2 linked regions of the Lonchura striata genome follow. The protein of the gene in region 2 interacts with the protein of the main gene of each other region in a pairwise test. Links are inferred from orthologs where the notes say so. Each region holds a gene or a part of one and is shown on either strand. Other genes may lie near its edges.

What was found. The genes of interacting proteins can lie anywhere in the genome.
Region 1: the proteins of PCSK5 (region 2) and NUFIP2 interact in binary tests that used the Homo sapiens proteins (3 or more experiments, as listed by UniProt). The two-hybrid records come from large-scale screens. The link is inferred for Lonchura striata from reciprocal best matches to the Homo sapiens genes PCSK5 and NUFIP2.

The regions. Positions count from the first base shown.
Region 1 is NC_134622.1:7,666,205-7,674,102, forward strand, and holds the start of NUFIP2 (FMR1-interacting protein NUFIP2), read right to left. Parts: upstream 3,015-7,898; 5' UTR 2,938-3,014; coding exon 2,754-2,937; intron 1-2,753. UniProt on the Homo sapiens protein: Binds RNA.
Region 2 is NC_134642.1:69,633,212-69,640,330, reverse strand, and holds the start of PCSK5 (proprotein convertase subtilisin/kexin type 5), read left to right. Parts: upstream 1-4,119; 5' UTR 4,120-4,656; coding exon 4,657-4,854; intron 4,855-7,119. UniProt on the Homo sapiens protein: Serine endoprotease that processes various proproteins by cleavage at paired basic amino acids, recognizing the RXXX[KR]R consensus motif. Likely functions in the constitutive and regulated secretory pathways.

The DNA.
Region 1 (7,898 bases), on a different chromosome or scaffold from region 2:
GTTTCCTCACGCAGACATTTTAAAATAGGAAAATATCTAGTCTCTGAGGTAAAGCTGCATAAATTTATTTGCTGGAACCCACAGCAAGAAGGGTTAAAAAAGAAGGACCAGCCATGACTGATTCTCGCATAACTGAGTGACATACAGATAACATAACAAAGCAAAAGAAAATACAGATACTATGCCAGAAAAATATACTGTACTGAAAATCACTGGCAAGCTGGAGAGTTATTTCATCAGCTACTATTTCCAGGTCAGAGAGAGGAAAAAATTAATTCCCAGGATGCTTCAAGACAGCGGGATCCACTGCCTTTCTGACAAGATCTGTGGAGGTTCAGGATACACACTGTGAACAAGGGACAACTCCTACCATCTCCATCACCTCCTGGGCCCACGACACCAGCAGTCCTCCTTCCCACCCTCCTCCCAAATGCCATCTCAGTCAAGGGATGGGAAAAAAAAAACAAGCACAGTATTTGCAAAAGGACCCGTGCAAGTTCAGCTGGAAGATGGAGGAAAGAAAATGTGGCCACATCTCCTCCCTGCATTTTAAGATAGCGACCAGCACCTCCCTACACATGTTCCTTGGCACTGAAAAGTGACAGAAGTAAGAAATGCATCCCTGCAAGTGCCCTTCTGCTGCCACCACCAATGGATCTCTTGGCCACTGAAAAAACTTGTATTTCAGAGTCCCCAGGAGAGCTGGTATGAGCCTGAGACCCAAGAAATATAGCACCTGCTGAGGGCTCCAACTCACAAAGCCATGAGATTGTGCTGCAGACTGAGCTTTACTCTTCCCTTCTGAAGTTCACTTCCAGGCCTCATGGTTCTGGAGAGTGCAATTCAAGCAGAGCTGGAAGCCCAGGACAGTCCACACTGAACCACCCCAACTTCCTCTTTGCTTTCTCCTTTTCAAGCATCTCTGGCCAGAGGCCTGCTGCTTTCGAGGACCCTGGCTAAAACCCCAAGGGAAGCCCTGGAGCCCCAGTGGGACACAGGGAGAGCACACCGTGCCCTGCTCGACAAATACACTCCAGCTGCAGAGGGATTCCTCCTGCACCCGCCGCTCCTCTGACTCATTCCTCCTTCCGAGGCTGGAAAGCCTCACATCCACATCCCCCACAACCACTGACCCACCTAAGGCTCCATCTGCAGCCACGGTGGCACCGAGTCAGCACAGAGAGGGAGTCCCTCAACAACTGGAGCGGGCAAAACTCCAGCTTGGAAGAAGAATGTTTTTGTTGTTTGCTGATGTTGTTGAAATTAACTGCTGTAACTAAAAATCGTTGTTACCCTCACATCCTGGAGCCTCAGATGTCTGGCAGATGTAACAGCTCAAGTTCTGTGCAAGTCGGGAACACAAGAATCCTTGTAGGAATCTTTACAGAAATTCCACAACTGAGTTTGCCGAGGGGGATCAAAAAGGATTTTACTACATGCAAGTATCTGTAACCACCACAACTTCCACTATAACTTTCAAATATGTTGTTAAGAAAATTAACTGCAAATACTTCGCCCCAGAGAGAACTAGAACGGCGGGATCCTCTAAAAAATTAGTATTTCAGAATAGCATGAAGAGGAAGCCCTCTCAAGAACAGTGTTACAGCTGACCTTGTATGACTCAAGACTTCTGACACCACTTGTTAATGAAACAAAACAATAAAGAGTGGTCATAAGACCACTGCAGATGAGGAGTGAAAGAATAAAATGAAGAACAAAATCCATTTCACTAAGTCAGTGTGTCAGCAGTTTCTAGTTCCAATTCTCAAGCATTCACAGCTCAGCTGCCTGAGTTTTCTCCAAATCAACATTTGGCACAGCTGGCCTTGGCCTGGACACGGAGGTGCAGCAACCAAAATTCAGGGGAGAGGAAAAAATCCAGGATGGTAAGAAGAACAGGTGAAGAGGATCTGGCAAGCTCACAAACCGTTTCAGAGCTGGAAAGGGAGGGGTGCCAGCCTAGGCACATATTAAAACCCTGGGCACGCTGCAAACAGTGAAATGACTTCTCAACTTATTTTTGCTCGGTAACTTATTTTGGCGTGTGCCCCATCAGGTCCCTCCCTGCCTGCCCAGGCTGCACATGGGGCACTGCTGACCCCGCTCCGCTGCTACCAGGCCCCCTCCCACCTCCCGCCTCGTTATGTAAAAGAAAAATTCAAGGGAAATAAAAAAAAAAAAAATTGTACGCGGCACTCCGGCCGGCTGGTGGCCACGCACTCGCCTTGACCCCGCACAAACCCCCCCAGAGGGACTGCTGGAGCCGGGGAGCCCGCAGGAACGCGGCGGGGGCTCGGCCCTGCCAGGGACCGGCTCCCCCCGCGCCGCTAACCGGACACCGCCTCTGCGGCGGCCCGGCACGGCCCGGGGGCCGCAGCCCCGGCCCGGCGGGGAGGAGGCGGCCGAGCGCCCGGGCCGGGCAGGGCCGCGCCGCCTCCCGCCGGCGGCGCCGGGCCGGGCCGCGCCGCCGGCTCTGACGGATCGATCCCGGCGCTCCCCCATCGCCCGGCCGCCCCCGCGGCCCCGGGCCCGGCCGGCGGCGGCGGCGCGGCCCGGCCCCACGTGCCGGCGGGCGGCGGTGCCGGCGGGCCCGCGGCTCCGCAGCCCCAACATGGCGGACAGGAAGCGGCCCCAGCGCGGCGGAGAAGCTTCGAGCCGGGCCGGGGGAGGCGGCGGCGGAGGAGGAGGAGGAGAGGGGGCCCCCGCCGCCGCCCCGCGAAGGTCACGGGCCCCGTCCCGCTGCCCGCTCCAACCTGGTCTCCGCTTCGGCGCCTCCGTGTGCTGCGGGCCGCCGTGCTTGTGCTCGTGGCGGAGCGGCGGCTTAGGCTGGGCTCGGCCGTCGGGCGGCGGCAGGTAGGCGCTCTGCGGGTGGTGGTGGTGGTGCCCGTAGTAGTAATAGTGGTGGTGGTGATGGTGGTGGTGGGGCTGCTCCTCCATGGGGGGCGGCTGGCGGGGCCGGGCCGGGCTGGGCGCTCGCTGCTGGGCCGTGCGGCTCCGGCGCGGGGACGCGGCTGGCGCGGGGGAGGCGGCGGACTGGCAGCGCCCGCCCTGCAATCAGCGAGCGGCGCCGCCGCGCCCGCCCCCCGCCCCGCCCCGCCGCACCGCGGCCGGGGGAGAGCCGGCCCGGCCAGCGCGGGCCCGCCCGGCCGCCCCCTCCCCGGGCCGGCGGCAGGTGAGGCTGCCGGGGGCGGGCGCGCTTCGCCCCCTCCCCGTGCTAGCGCGGCGGAGCCAGAGTGAGCGGCCGCGGCGGGGTCGCCGCCGTCCCCGGTCCTCGCCGTTGGAGCGGAGGGGAGCGGCGTGCGGCCCCGGGGGGGTTTCACCGCAGGGTCACCGGCAGGACGGCGGCCCGGGATGCCGCCAAGCCGCGTTTTGCCGTCATGAAGCGGGTGAACCCCCCACCCGGGGCAGGCGGAGAGGGCTGGAACAGCCCCAGCGGAGGGGAGCTGGGCAGGGATGTGAACACCGTGAGCAGCCGGGCTCCCAGCAGCAGCCGCGGGAAGCGCGGAGCCCGGCAGCAGCAGCGCCCCGAATCGCTGCCGGGCCGAGCTGCAGCGCTCCCGCGGCAGCCGGAGCTCACCCGGCTCCAGGGCTCCACCCGCAGCCAAGCGGGCGGACCCGCCGCTCCCCGCACGGACCCACCACCGGCCGTGCCCAGCACCCGGCCAGCCCGAGAAAGGTGGGCTCAACAAATGCGCCTGTCCAGCTCCGAGGGAAGCACCGGAGATTTAACTGATGCTTAACAAAAATCAAAGGTTGATGGGGAAGCCCGAGAGTGTAAGGAGGAGAACTCTTGAAACTTGACAGAATTTGCAACAGATTTCATACCATTTCAATCTCTGATTATCCTCACTTGAGCATGTTCGGCAGGGGGTGATGACAGCTAAATGACCTGAACTCCCACCTCTGCTCCAGCCAGCCTCCACTGCAGGGAGAGCAAGACATTCAAATGCTGTTCCCGGATTCCTCCTCAACACCAAGGCCCAATTCTCCAGATACCACTGAGACAAAGGGGTTTGGGTTGTATGGATCAGTGAGGAACTGAGACAGGAGTTAATTAGGAATGTAGGAAAAGGGCAGAGGGAATGGAGAGACCCACAACTGACACGGGCTGGAGACAGAGGCGGAGTCCTGCTCCAAGTTATTTGCTACTCTGGTGTGATTAATGGCCCCCAAATAGTCCCAATAGTGTGCACTGCAGCAAACAGGGAGGAAAAGTGACAAAATAAAATGTGTTCATGTAATTAAAGACTGTCACAATTAATGTGTGTAATATAAATGGGCTCCACAAATAGTCCTGAAAATAGTATGGACTCGCTTCTCAAGTCTTTTCCTTGCAGCTTAATGCTCTGTTCTATTTTTTCACTATTCTAATGAGCAAAATTAATAAAGTTCATGTGTCTAGAAAAGCCCTGTCAGACTTTGGCACTGTACAAGAGCCCTCGTCTGGAGATTTTACAGTTCCCAAGCCTTATTTTAAGAGAACACAGTTGAAAGTTTATGCCTCAAACAGAACTTCCCACTTCACGCTCCTCTTTACTACATAGGAGGTAAAGCTTTTCCTTACCAGAAATACCAACTTCAACATTAATACAGAGGGTTTTTTCAAGATTTGAGGTGCCTGAAATATCACAAGCTCTCTGCCAAATCATTCCTGCAGTTTACATTTCTTTCAGCACAATGCAAAGCCATTTAAAACTGATGAAACTATTTAAGCAAGCAATGATGAACTTTGGGCTTTACTCAAACAATAACGGTCCTGGTCCTTTCAAACGCTGACTCATTCAGTGACCTCAGAGTGCTTAAGAGACAAGTCTTAAAATGAGGAGTCAGGCTTTAATCACAGATGACATTTTATTGGTGGCTTGGAAGAATTTATTTTTAATATAGGGAGCTGGCTTGAAGATTTAAACTTCAAAAGACTCTGAGGAAAGCAAACAATTATGGACAAATCATCTCCACACACACAGACCAGAAATCTGAATACAGAGGAAGGTGGGCTGTCTCTTTGTGAAAGACAAAGCTACTATGTCACTGCTTAGAAGTATCATGTTATCAGTATTATATTATCTAAAGCTTGCAGAAGAGAGAAAAATAATCCAAAATAATACAGCCTGGGGTTCATCACCTGGCACCCCAACATGGTGTGTCCACACACAGTGGGCCTGCCCCACTTCCACTGATTCCACAAGGATGCATTTTAAAGGTAAGAGCAGTTCCAGCAGGCAGTGTTGCCCTGTGGCCATGCTGGGACACATCCCCTCCAGAAGCAGTAGTTTCTGTTAATCCCAGTGTTTGCCCATTGTTGCACCAGTTGTAATGTGTATTAATATTCAACAGTTCTTCAGGATGTGTTCTCTGGAAAGGGAAGCTGGAGATTTCCGTGTCTGCTCATTTGCAGCAGTTTTCCTTCTTACTGCTCTTTGGCAAGCCAGCAAAGAGGCAATTTTCCTTGGAATTCCACACCCAGTGCCAAGTATTCCCACATCCAGGCACAAAGCTGGGCACAGCCAGTATAATTTCTAACTCAGTAATTTATTCAAAGCTCTGTTTTATGAAGCTTTGAAGTGGATGGCTTTGCAGAGAACCTGCCATTTAAAGCTGGAAAATTAAGGCAGCAAGGAATGAATCAACTGCTACAAGAATCATGAGAAAGTTTTCCTGCAGAGTCTGACCCGGGATAAATTTTGTGTTCATATTAAAATGCAGTTAAACTGAGAAGCTATTGAAGTTATTTTTTCAAGAACAATTTATTTCCTTTCAAAGGCAAACCTCTTTTAAAAACTACATTTAGTTCCCATTAATTATTTTCAGGTAAATTAGAACTGAAATTATAAAATTAATCCATGAAAAAAATAAAATGCTTGCTTTGTAGTATTTCATGTGTCTGTCTCCTGTTTAAAACTCAGAATTGGGAAACACCAAAATTACCATATTTATAGATATTGGGATGGGCTCTTACACAAAGTATGTGTGGCATTTATTTACATTTTTTGCCACAGTGTTTTCATTTATAGCAGGGGTTCAGACTTGCAAAATTCTCCATATTCCAACACATCCAACTTAAAGCACTCCAGCAGACCTTTAGTTCCAAGCAGGATTACAACCACACTGTTTAAAACCTTGCCACGTTTGGCTGCTGGCAAATAATGTGTTTCAGTACAAGGCAGTTGGGATTTACCAGTTGATATTCAAGTGTTGGAATCTCAGAATTAGTTCTCAGAAGCAGTTTAGTCAAGATGGATGACAGGGTAGGAGAGCTGCTCACAGCCTGACCACAGCTATTCTCACAGAGCTGCTGCAGTTACATTCAGGTAAGGAGGAGCTTCTCCTTGACTCCATTTTTGTACTCTGCTGTGTACATTATTTATAGGTACAAAGCTGGTCTCTTTAAAGACTTCTCTCTCTAGAGGCAGCTGGATAGTAGGCATTGGGTTAGAGGTCTTAAAAAGCAGCAAAACCCAAAAAATTATAAAAGGATTTAACCTCCTAGCTGAATTGTAAAAATTGTAAAAAATTCACATTTTACTCATCCTTCCCTTCCTTAGCAATTTAAGCATTTCCACCTCAGCACATGCTGAATTATGATTTTTTTCCTAAAAGCTTAGTTTCCAAATGTCATAAGCACACTATGCTAATCCTTCATTCACTCTCCAGAAAATTAAGGCAATCCAGCACCAAAAATAACCATAGGGTATAGTTTTGTGAGGCAGCAAAACTGACGTAATGGCTGCTCCCAAAAGGGAAGGTCATCTCTCCCTGCCCTGCCCTCACAGCAACGCTGCTGCTTCTCAGAGCCCATTTGAGAAATTAAACTAAAAAGTAATTCTTCAGATGGAAAAGTGCACATTTTTATTCTGGTTAAGCTTCCTAAACTGTTTCACAGAGGAGCCAGACAAATTTTAACACCCTGAAGAATGGGCTGTCACTACAGCAGCTCAGGAGTTGCCTTCCACAGCCAGCCTGGCTGCAGGGATGACCTTCTGGGAATTGGGCAGCGGGGACACAGCTGGGGTTGCAGCCACTTAAGCCATCTAATTTTATTTTGCTCGTATTTGTGAGTCAATCCCCTTGAGTGGCCAAAGAAGGATGGCGTGACCATCCTTCAAAGTGTTTTGAGCAAGCTGTAACAGAATGGCTGTAACCAGTGGGACTTCTGGTGGGTTCATCCATTGTTTAACAAGACTCAATCCAAGGATCATCCCTGTTGTAAAAACACTGAAGTGTTCACACAGGCATGAGTAACATCTGCTGCCCATATCTGCATGCAAAATTGTTTACTAGAGTGCAACAGTATAAACTGGAGACAGCTTCTTGGACACATACAAGAAGCAGAATGGGAAGCAGGCTAGCAGGCTGGCCTCAGCCACAACTCTTATCATTACTTCTCTGGGATTTCAGAGAATCCTGGCTCTCAGACAATTCTGGATCTCCTCCTGCTTCCTAGGATCATCACAGGGACCACAGAGAAATCCAGACAAATACCTACCAAGGTGCTCTTGCACAAACTCCCCTGCTGTTAGAACCTGAGGCACAGGCAGTCCAGCCTGACTTACACAGGGAATTGTATCGGTCACTGCTTGCAGTGGACTTTGACCTCTGGAAGACAAATGAAAAAAAGCTCAATCCACAAATCCCAAGCACTTTTTATCTTGTTATACAACACAACAGTCACAAGGCTGCTAGTCACATTTCATTCTCATTCCATTTGGACACCAAACAGTTATTTTGAAACAGGAAATTAAAAAAAAATAGTTTTTAAATGTGGGTTGGCTATGTCTGCATTTGGTATATGGGGACTCCTCTGCTTGTGTTTGCACCCAGGATCTCCAATTTAACAATGCTCAGCACTGACAGAACACCAGATCTGGAGCAGTTATTGTTTGAGTTATTACTGTGAC
Region 2 (7,119 bases):
AATTGAGGCTTGGGTTGGAGCACACCCTGACAAAGCCAAATACCCATTCCAATTTCCTTCTGTTCATTCCTTTGTGCCACCCCAGCTTCTTTACCCCACTTGAATACCTTTACCTGTCCTGTCTCTTATCTCCTCTACATTCAGGACAAAAGGCTTGCCTCCTTGGTATTTCCAGAAAGTTAATTAAAGTCTACTGTCAATTAGCATGTTCACTCCCATCGTGACCAACAAGAAGTGGGAAGAGAAATAAGAGGTCATACTTTGCTGTGGACTGCATACAGGGTTAGATATACAGACCCTATAGTCTACACACTGGGAGAGTGAGAGGTATCCTAGTGAGAGGAGTGAGCAATCTCAACAAATTGGCTGCTGAATGTAAAAAAAGTGTCTAATGTACAGGTGAAAACTCTCATGCAAAAATTGGACCAACATAGGTGACTTTTCATGAGAACAGTGAAGTACTCAAAATACATACCCTGCTTCAAAGCATAAAGAGACAGGTATTTATCAGGAACAAACCTGTTAATGTACTTAATTATATGGAAAACCAGTGTTTTATTAAAAACCAAACTAAAAACCCCAAAACTTAGTTATATTCAAAATGTTAAAATATGTAAAATCAGAGGCAAGCCTTAAGCATGGAAAACTGGAGATCAAAGAACTGTATACCAGCAAATTGGATCATATGGTGGCTGGTGTCAAGTGACCTAGCTGTACTGTTTATAAAAACAAGTAAAAACAGTTATGCTTGAAACTGAGGAAATCTAAATTCTCCTTTGGATTCCAAAACTATCCATCTTTCTAAGTCAACCTCTAAACAAGTCCTTGACACAACCTCCACTCTTCGGATGTTTCCTTTGTTTCATCTACTATGGCCCAGACTCTCCCTCTCAAAGGCTGATGAACATATATTCCCAGTTTAGTCTTAAAATAGACTGTGTTCTGGAGTGTCTTCAGGGACCAGCACATCTGCTTGCATTACTTCTTCCTATAAGACACTGAGCTACCACTTTGCTTAAATTTATATTTTCTATGTGATTTCCTCCTTAATTATGACTCTGGGGTGGCTAACACATCTCTGGAGCACTGATCTGCAAAACATACAGGAGTGCTAGAAAGCTGACATAAAGGACAACACAGTAAAAAGGCTGCTGAAGCTGGTGAGCCAGAGGGATTTTCAGGCTGAGAAAGAACTAGAAAGGAAAGAATAATTTCTGGACTAGGTAGGCAAAACAGCAAAACAAGAGGCAATTAGAGCACATAAGAGAGAAGTGAGAACAGCCACTGAGGTCAGATTCTGGATTGCTATCATTTGGAATTAACAATAGAGGAGGGATTAATGGATTATTATCAATAAGTAAAGGACAAGAGAGAGACCTGTGGAAATTTGCATTTTGAGCAGTCAGGCAGATACTGACTTTTGTCATAAAAGAGAGGCAAGAAGGGGGTGGAGAGGTGTGTGTGTGTGTCTGTTAACAAGAGGCACCAGTGTAACAATAGTGATAAAATGGATCAAATTAGTGCCCTTACCAAGAGGAGATAAAAACTTTTCCAGTGGTGTACAGAGAGACAAGTTATCAGGTCTCCCACAGAGCTCAAAAGCAAGCCCAGCTACCAGCTACATACAGTCCACATATAGCAGGTACACTGAATAAAACTCCCACACTGCTGCCTCAGCCCCCTCAGTCTCTCCACTCCCCTGGTATATGAAATGCCTGGCTCTTTCAGAAAGGAACAGAATACGGCATGGCAGGGGTTCTCACCTCTTTTTTCCTTTTTTTTTTTTTTTTTTTTTTTTTGAGGGGGTGTAAGGAGTGAAGTCCCTAGGGATTTTGCTTTGATGAGGTATTCAGCAAAACTTTACAGTCTGGAGTTCATATTGAAACACACTCAAATATTTCACAGCGCAACCAATGTCCAAATGTTGCCACACTAGCTATAATTGCCATCTAACACAGTGGCCTCAGCAAAGAGGACTATAATCACAGAAAAAAATGTCTCTGGGGACTACACCCCGCCTCTTCCAGAGGCTGTTTTTATGTATAGTACAATTTTCACAACATTTTTGTTATACTGTGCAATATGATGCAGCTTTATGAAAAGATACTTACAGACAATGATGTATTTATCAAATCAACTGATTCCTAGTGACTTCGGTGCTTTGTATAAAACACCATCAAGTGAGACAAGTTGGAAGTAAGTACATGACAGTATGGATTTTCTTTGTAGTGTGCACCTTTTGTCCATTATCTGTAGCAAAAAATATGGCAGTCAAAACAATAGTAAGATTATCTGAGAAAAGACCAGAAAAAAATTTTTCAATTTATTATCTTCAGAAAAACAAACTGGGGTTGCATAAGATTCAGGTGTTGTGACCCATTGATTGCTATTCACTTCTATAGAGCAGATATTAATGATTAAGCATAATAAGCAGATATTGGATAAGAGCTGACTTGTGTAATTATCATTGAACCAATGAATTAGGAGGGCTAATTGCTGCATTGCTAAGGCTAATTGCTGAGGGATATTTAATGTCATATTCAAGGAATGTGTATTTTTGAATACACATAGCAACAAGGTGTAATTGCTTGGTCCTAACAGCTACAATTCATACAAGGGCCTGCTGAATTGAATGAGTGCTGGCTGCAGTTTCAACAGAGGAACAATTTGCTCAACAGTAAGCCACCATCTGTGAAATCCTAGGAAAGGCAAGTTCCCATGAATTCTTAAATGTACGAACAGAACTTAACAGTACATTTGAATATACTGAGAAAATGATCATACAAACTACAAAAGAAAATACATAGAAGAAGCAATCTCTGGAAAATAAATTATTGGAGACATCAAACAAACAGGGAAGCAAAGGATGCATTTTCCTTCTTTCTATTTTTTAAAAACTATCAAAAGATGTGGGAAGACATTAATCACCAGTATAATACCCATATGTAAGGGAAAAAATTAATGAACATAAAGCAGAGAATCACCGGAATTGGAAAACATGGCTTTCTATTTCTACTTTTCAAGGGAAACAGCTGCTTTAAAGGTAGAGATGTAGGTTTTCATGGAGTTGAAAAGGAGCTCCATGTTATTCTATGATCTTCTGTAAAGCATTTAATTTCTCATACTTCAGGGAAAGTGACAGCTGCCTGACTTTTGCCTACTGTCACCTTTGCTGACATTATTTTCCTCAGAGAAAATTCACAGATTTACATTAGTGCATTGCAATGTTACTTCTCTTGTCCAAATTCCTTCAAAACTTGCAACAGATCTTCACAGTAGGTCTGTTGGACCGATTATTTCAACTTTCAAGCAAAACAAAGTAGATCTACAGGTAGTCCAAAGCTATTATGGTGACTCAAATGCTTAGACCATTAAACAACAAGCTTGGGATGGAGTGGACATGAGCTTTCTCCCACCCCAGCCAGGCACTAGCCTGGGACAGCTGCTGATGATTAGCAGCATCTTCTCTGGGCCCAGAGGTGCTCTGCTTATGGAAGCAAGCTGCAGATCTGTAGCAACGCTACATACATAGCTACATGGATGAGGGAGCAGTGGGAGCTCTGCCTTCTCTGTCTGGGTCTGGACCACTGCTCCTCTGCCAAAGCAGCAGCCACCCCCTTTTCTTTTCGAAGGTGGTGACCACGGACAGACGGGCTGCATTAAACGACGACGTGCGATGCGTACGATGTGCGGCCAGCAAACGGGCACACGGCGCCTGCCGGAGAGGCAGCCGTGGGGCTGTTCCCGTCCCGCCCGGCAGCCCAGCAGCTTCTCCTGGGCAGGCAGGCCGGGGCAGAGCCGGAGCAGCCGGGGCTGTCCCGCGGCCCCCCCTCGCCCCGGGCGCCCTTTGCCGCCGGTGCAGAGCACAAGGCCCTTCCGCAGGCCTCGCCTCGCCGCGCCCGCTGCAGCCCCGCTGGCGGCGCGGCGGCCGCCCGGCCCGGCGGGGGCGCGGAGACAGCGCCGGGGGCGGCGGCTGGCGAGACCAGCGGTAGCCCGGGGCCCCGGAGCGCAAAGAGGGAGGTAACCCGGCGCCGACACGGCTGCCATTTCCCCTGGCCTTCGGCGCTGAGGGATTGAGGGCGGGGAGAGGAGGCGGAGGAGAAGGAGGAGGGAGGGGAGAGGGAGGTCGTCGAGTCGGAGCGCACTGAGGCTCGAAGCTGCCAACACTCACACATCGCCTGCCGCCGCAGCCGCGCTGCTCCCGGGCTCCGGAGAGAGGGAGCGAGTAGAGGCGAAGAAAAGCCAGACGCGGGAGAGGAGGCAGAAGACCGCTGGCAGAGGGAAGGAAGTCAGAGAGGAGGGAAACGGAGGGAGAGGGATAAGGACCCCTCCTCCCCGCGGAGAGACGACTTCCCATGTAGCTAGGGATAGAGGGAGAAGCTGGCGCTCAGGAACAGTGAGAGAAGCTCTCACAAGCAAGTTACTTAATCCGGGGAGAGCGGCGGGAAGAGGGCACAGCAGTAATCACTGATCAGAAGCACTATTCCCAACCCCTCATCATTTAAGCCCCGGGCGGTTCAATGCACTACTCCAAGCTCTTCCTAGTTTCTTCCTCGGGCTAACTTCGGAGGACGTACCGCCGGAGCGGCCCGGAGGGGAGGACAAGGGCCTCGGAAGAAGGAAGGAGTTTAGTGGGGGCTGCCTGCGGAGGAGAAGATGGGCTGGAAGCGCCGCTGTTGCTGGGGAGGCGGAGGCGGCGGGGACCTTCTGTGCCGGCTCACCCTGGTGCTGGGATTCCTGCTGCCCGCCTGCAGGACGCGCCTCTACACCAACCACTGGGCTGTGCGGATAACCGGGGGGCTCCCGGAGGCCAACAGGATAGCGAGCAAATACGGATACGTCAATATAGGACAGGTAACGCTGGTCACAACTCCTTCCCAGCGGGCAACCGGCGCTGCGGCCGCCCTGCGCCGCCGGGGCAGGGACGAGGGCGAGGGCGAGGGACGGGAGGCCCCGCGGCTGCTGCCCGGGCACGGCCCCGCCGCAGGCCCCGCCGCCGCCGCGGGGCGGTCCGCGGAGCCGCCCGGCTCCCCGCCGCGGGCCCCGTGAGGTGATGCGCGGGGACAGGTATGCCGGGGAGCTCGGGGTCGTGGCCTTCCCCTTCGAAGCCAGGTGTGAAACGGGGCGCGGGCCAGGGAGCCGCCTGCGGGGCGGGAGGGGGAGGGCATCGGCGGGGGGCGTCCCGCCGCGGCTCTGCGCTCCGCCTCGCTGCGGCTGAACTTTGCGCTCCGCGGCGGACAGCCTCTCGGCGAGTCGCCTCTCCGAGCTGAAAAGAGCCGGTACGAGACGAGCCGGCAGCCAGGACGTGGCAGCCGCGGCCGCCGGCTCGCCGCAGCGCGCTGAGTCCCGACCCCCGCGCTGGCGGGGCGTGCGGAAGGAGGCGGTGGCGGCGTGTCCCGGGGCGGCTGCCGCGCGTGCGGCTGCCCGCGGCGCTCCGTGGGGAAGGAGAGCACGCTGCTGGGGCCAGGGCACACCTGGACTTGGCTAGATCCAGACGTCACCACGTCAGAAAATTCTTGTATCCAGGCAGGTTAGGAAACTGAAAGTTAGCAAACACCTGGTTCTCACTGGAATGGAAAATGCCCCACTTCTACAATTAGGCACAGTTCTTTTTAAAATATCCTAACTTCACTTTTTCTTAAGGAGTTTATACTCGGTGTTCTAGGCTTTCCTCGCAGTTGTTCTCAAAATCCAAGTTGCATATGTAGGGTTTACAAGGTGAGTGCCTAAAAAATAAACTGTTTGCATGTTCTGTTGCATGCTTGGGTGCAAACATCCAAGTACATTCTTTCTGGACAGTAGTTTATTCTACATGAATCGAAAGGTTAGAAATGAACATTTACAGGTACAGAAGGCTTCCTTTTATACATGAGATTTACAAAACCGTATCTGTGTTTACACTCCAGGCGTTTCATATCAACCAAACCAAAATAAGACCTGATTATTATTTTGTTTTAAAATGGATTCCCACCTACTACATCATTGAATCAAAAGTTTAAAGTACATATCAATTGCAAGCCTGAAAAAGACAGCTGGTTGGTCAATTAAGAGAAATAATTTACATGAGAAAAACTGGAAAATGTCACTGGGGTATCACAAAACGTGATGTGTAAGGACGCAGTTACTTAGAGTATCAACTTCTCACGTAAGCAGACAGGCAGTACTACTTCCAGCTGGAGGCACTAAAATATGGGAGGAAGATTGCATGTCAAAAGTGAAGTACTACTTTGGAACTACAGTTTAGGAATCAAAATTTTTTGCATCGGTTTTCTTTTTAGTCTTGAATGTTTTTTGTTCAAGATGATTTATTCCTATCTGGGCCCTTATAGTGGCAAAATTTGCAACCATTGGTTGCAGGATGCGCCTGTCCCCATTTTTTCTTTTGTCAGGCTGGCTGGTTAGCTCAGAGCCTGCCTTTTTGTACTTTGCATATGTAAGCCATGTCTTGAATTAAGGAAAGAATGTTGTAAACCTCTGTTGTTTCTTATGTGAAAGTGTCTATATACAATTACAAAATACCAGTAATGGATAATACAGATTAGGTATACAGATTAGGTATACAAATGAGAATGAGAGAAAATAGAGACTATAAGTAACTGAAAATTGGAAAATGCTCTATTAGGTATATGGATGAAAAAAAGAGTAGACTGTGTTTCTAGGTAAAGATGGGTAAACGGAGTAAGGTACTAACTTTTGGAGAAAGGGAATCAGGAACAGTTTGGACAGATGAGGTGGACTTGTCCATAGCGAGCTTTCTTCATAGATCTGAAAAAGCAGGAAAATACTTGATGCAAAACAGGAAGTGCAAAAAGAAGATCAGAATGGGGCAATAATCTGCTGGTTATTATTGAGCAACAATTGCAAGTAATTAAAAAATTTATTTTGAGTGTGATGTTGAAAGATATTTTCTTAGCTGAATATGCTCTGAAAATAAGAGACACCAATAAGTAGAATTTTCTCATAGAGTTATAGAATAGGCATAATATTTTTGGTTACATTAAATTTATGAGCTCATCTATATAAAGAAAGTGAAAAAAGCTAAATCAAAATTCCACTGCAGCTGGTCCAAAGGACTAACTTACAAATTATCCAGAAAAATAACCTATTGAAAATATTAAA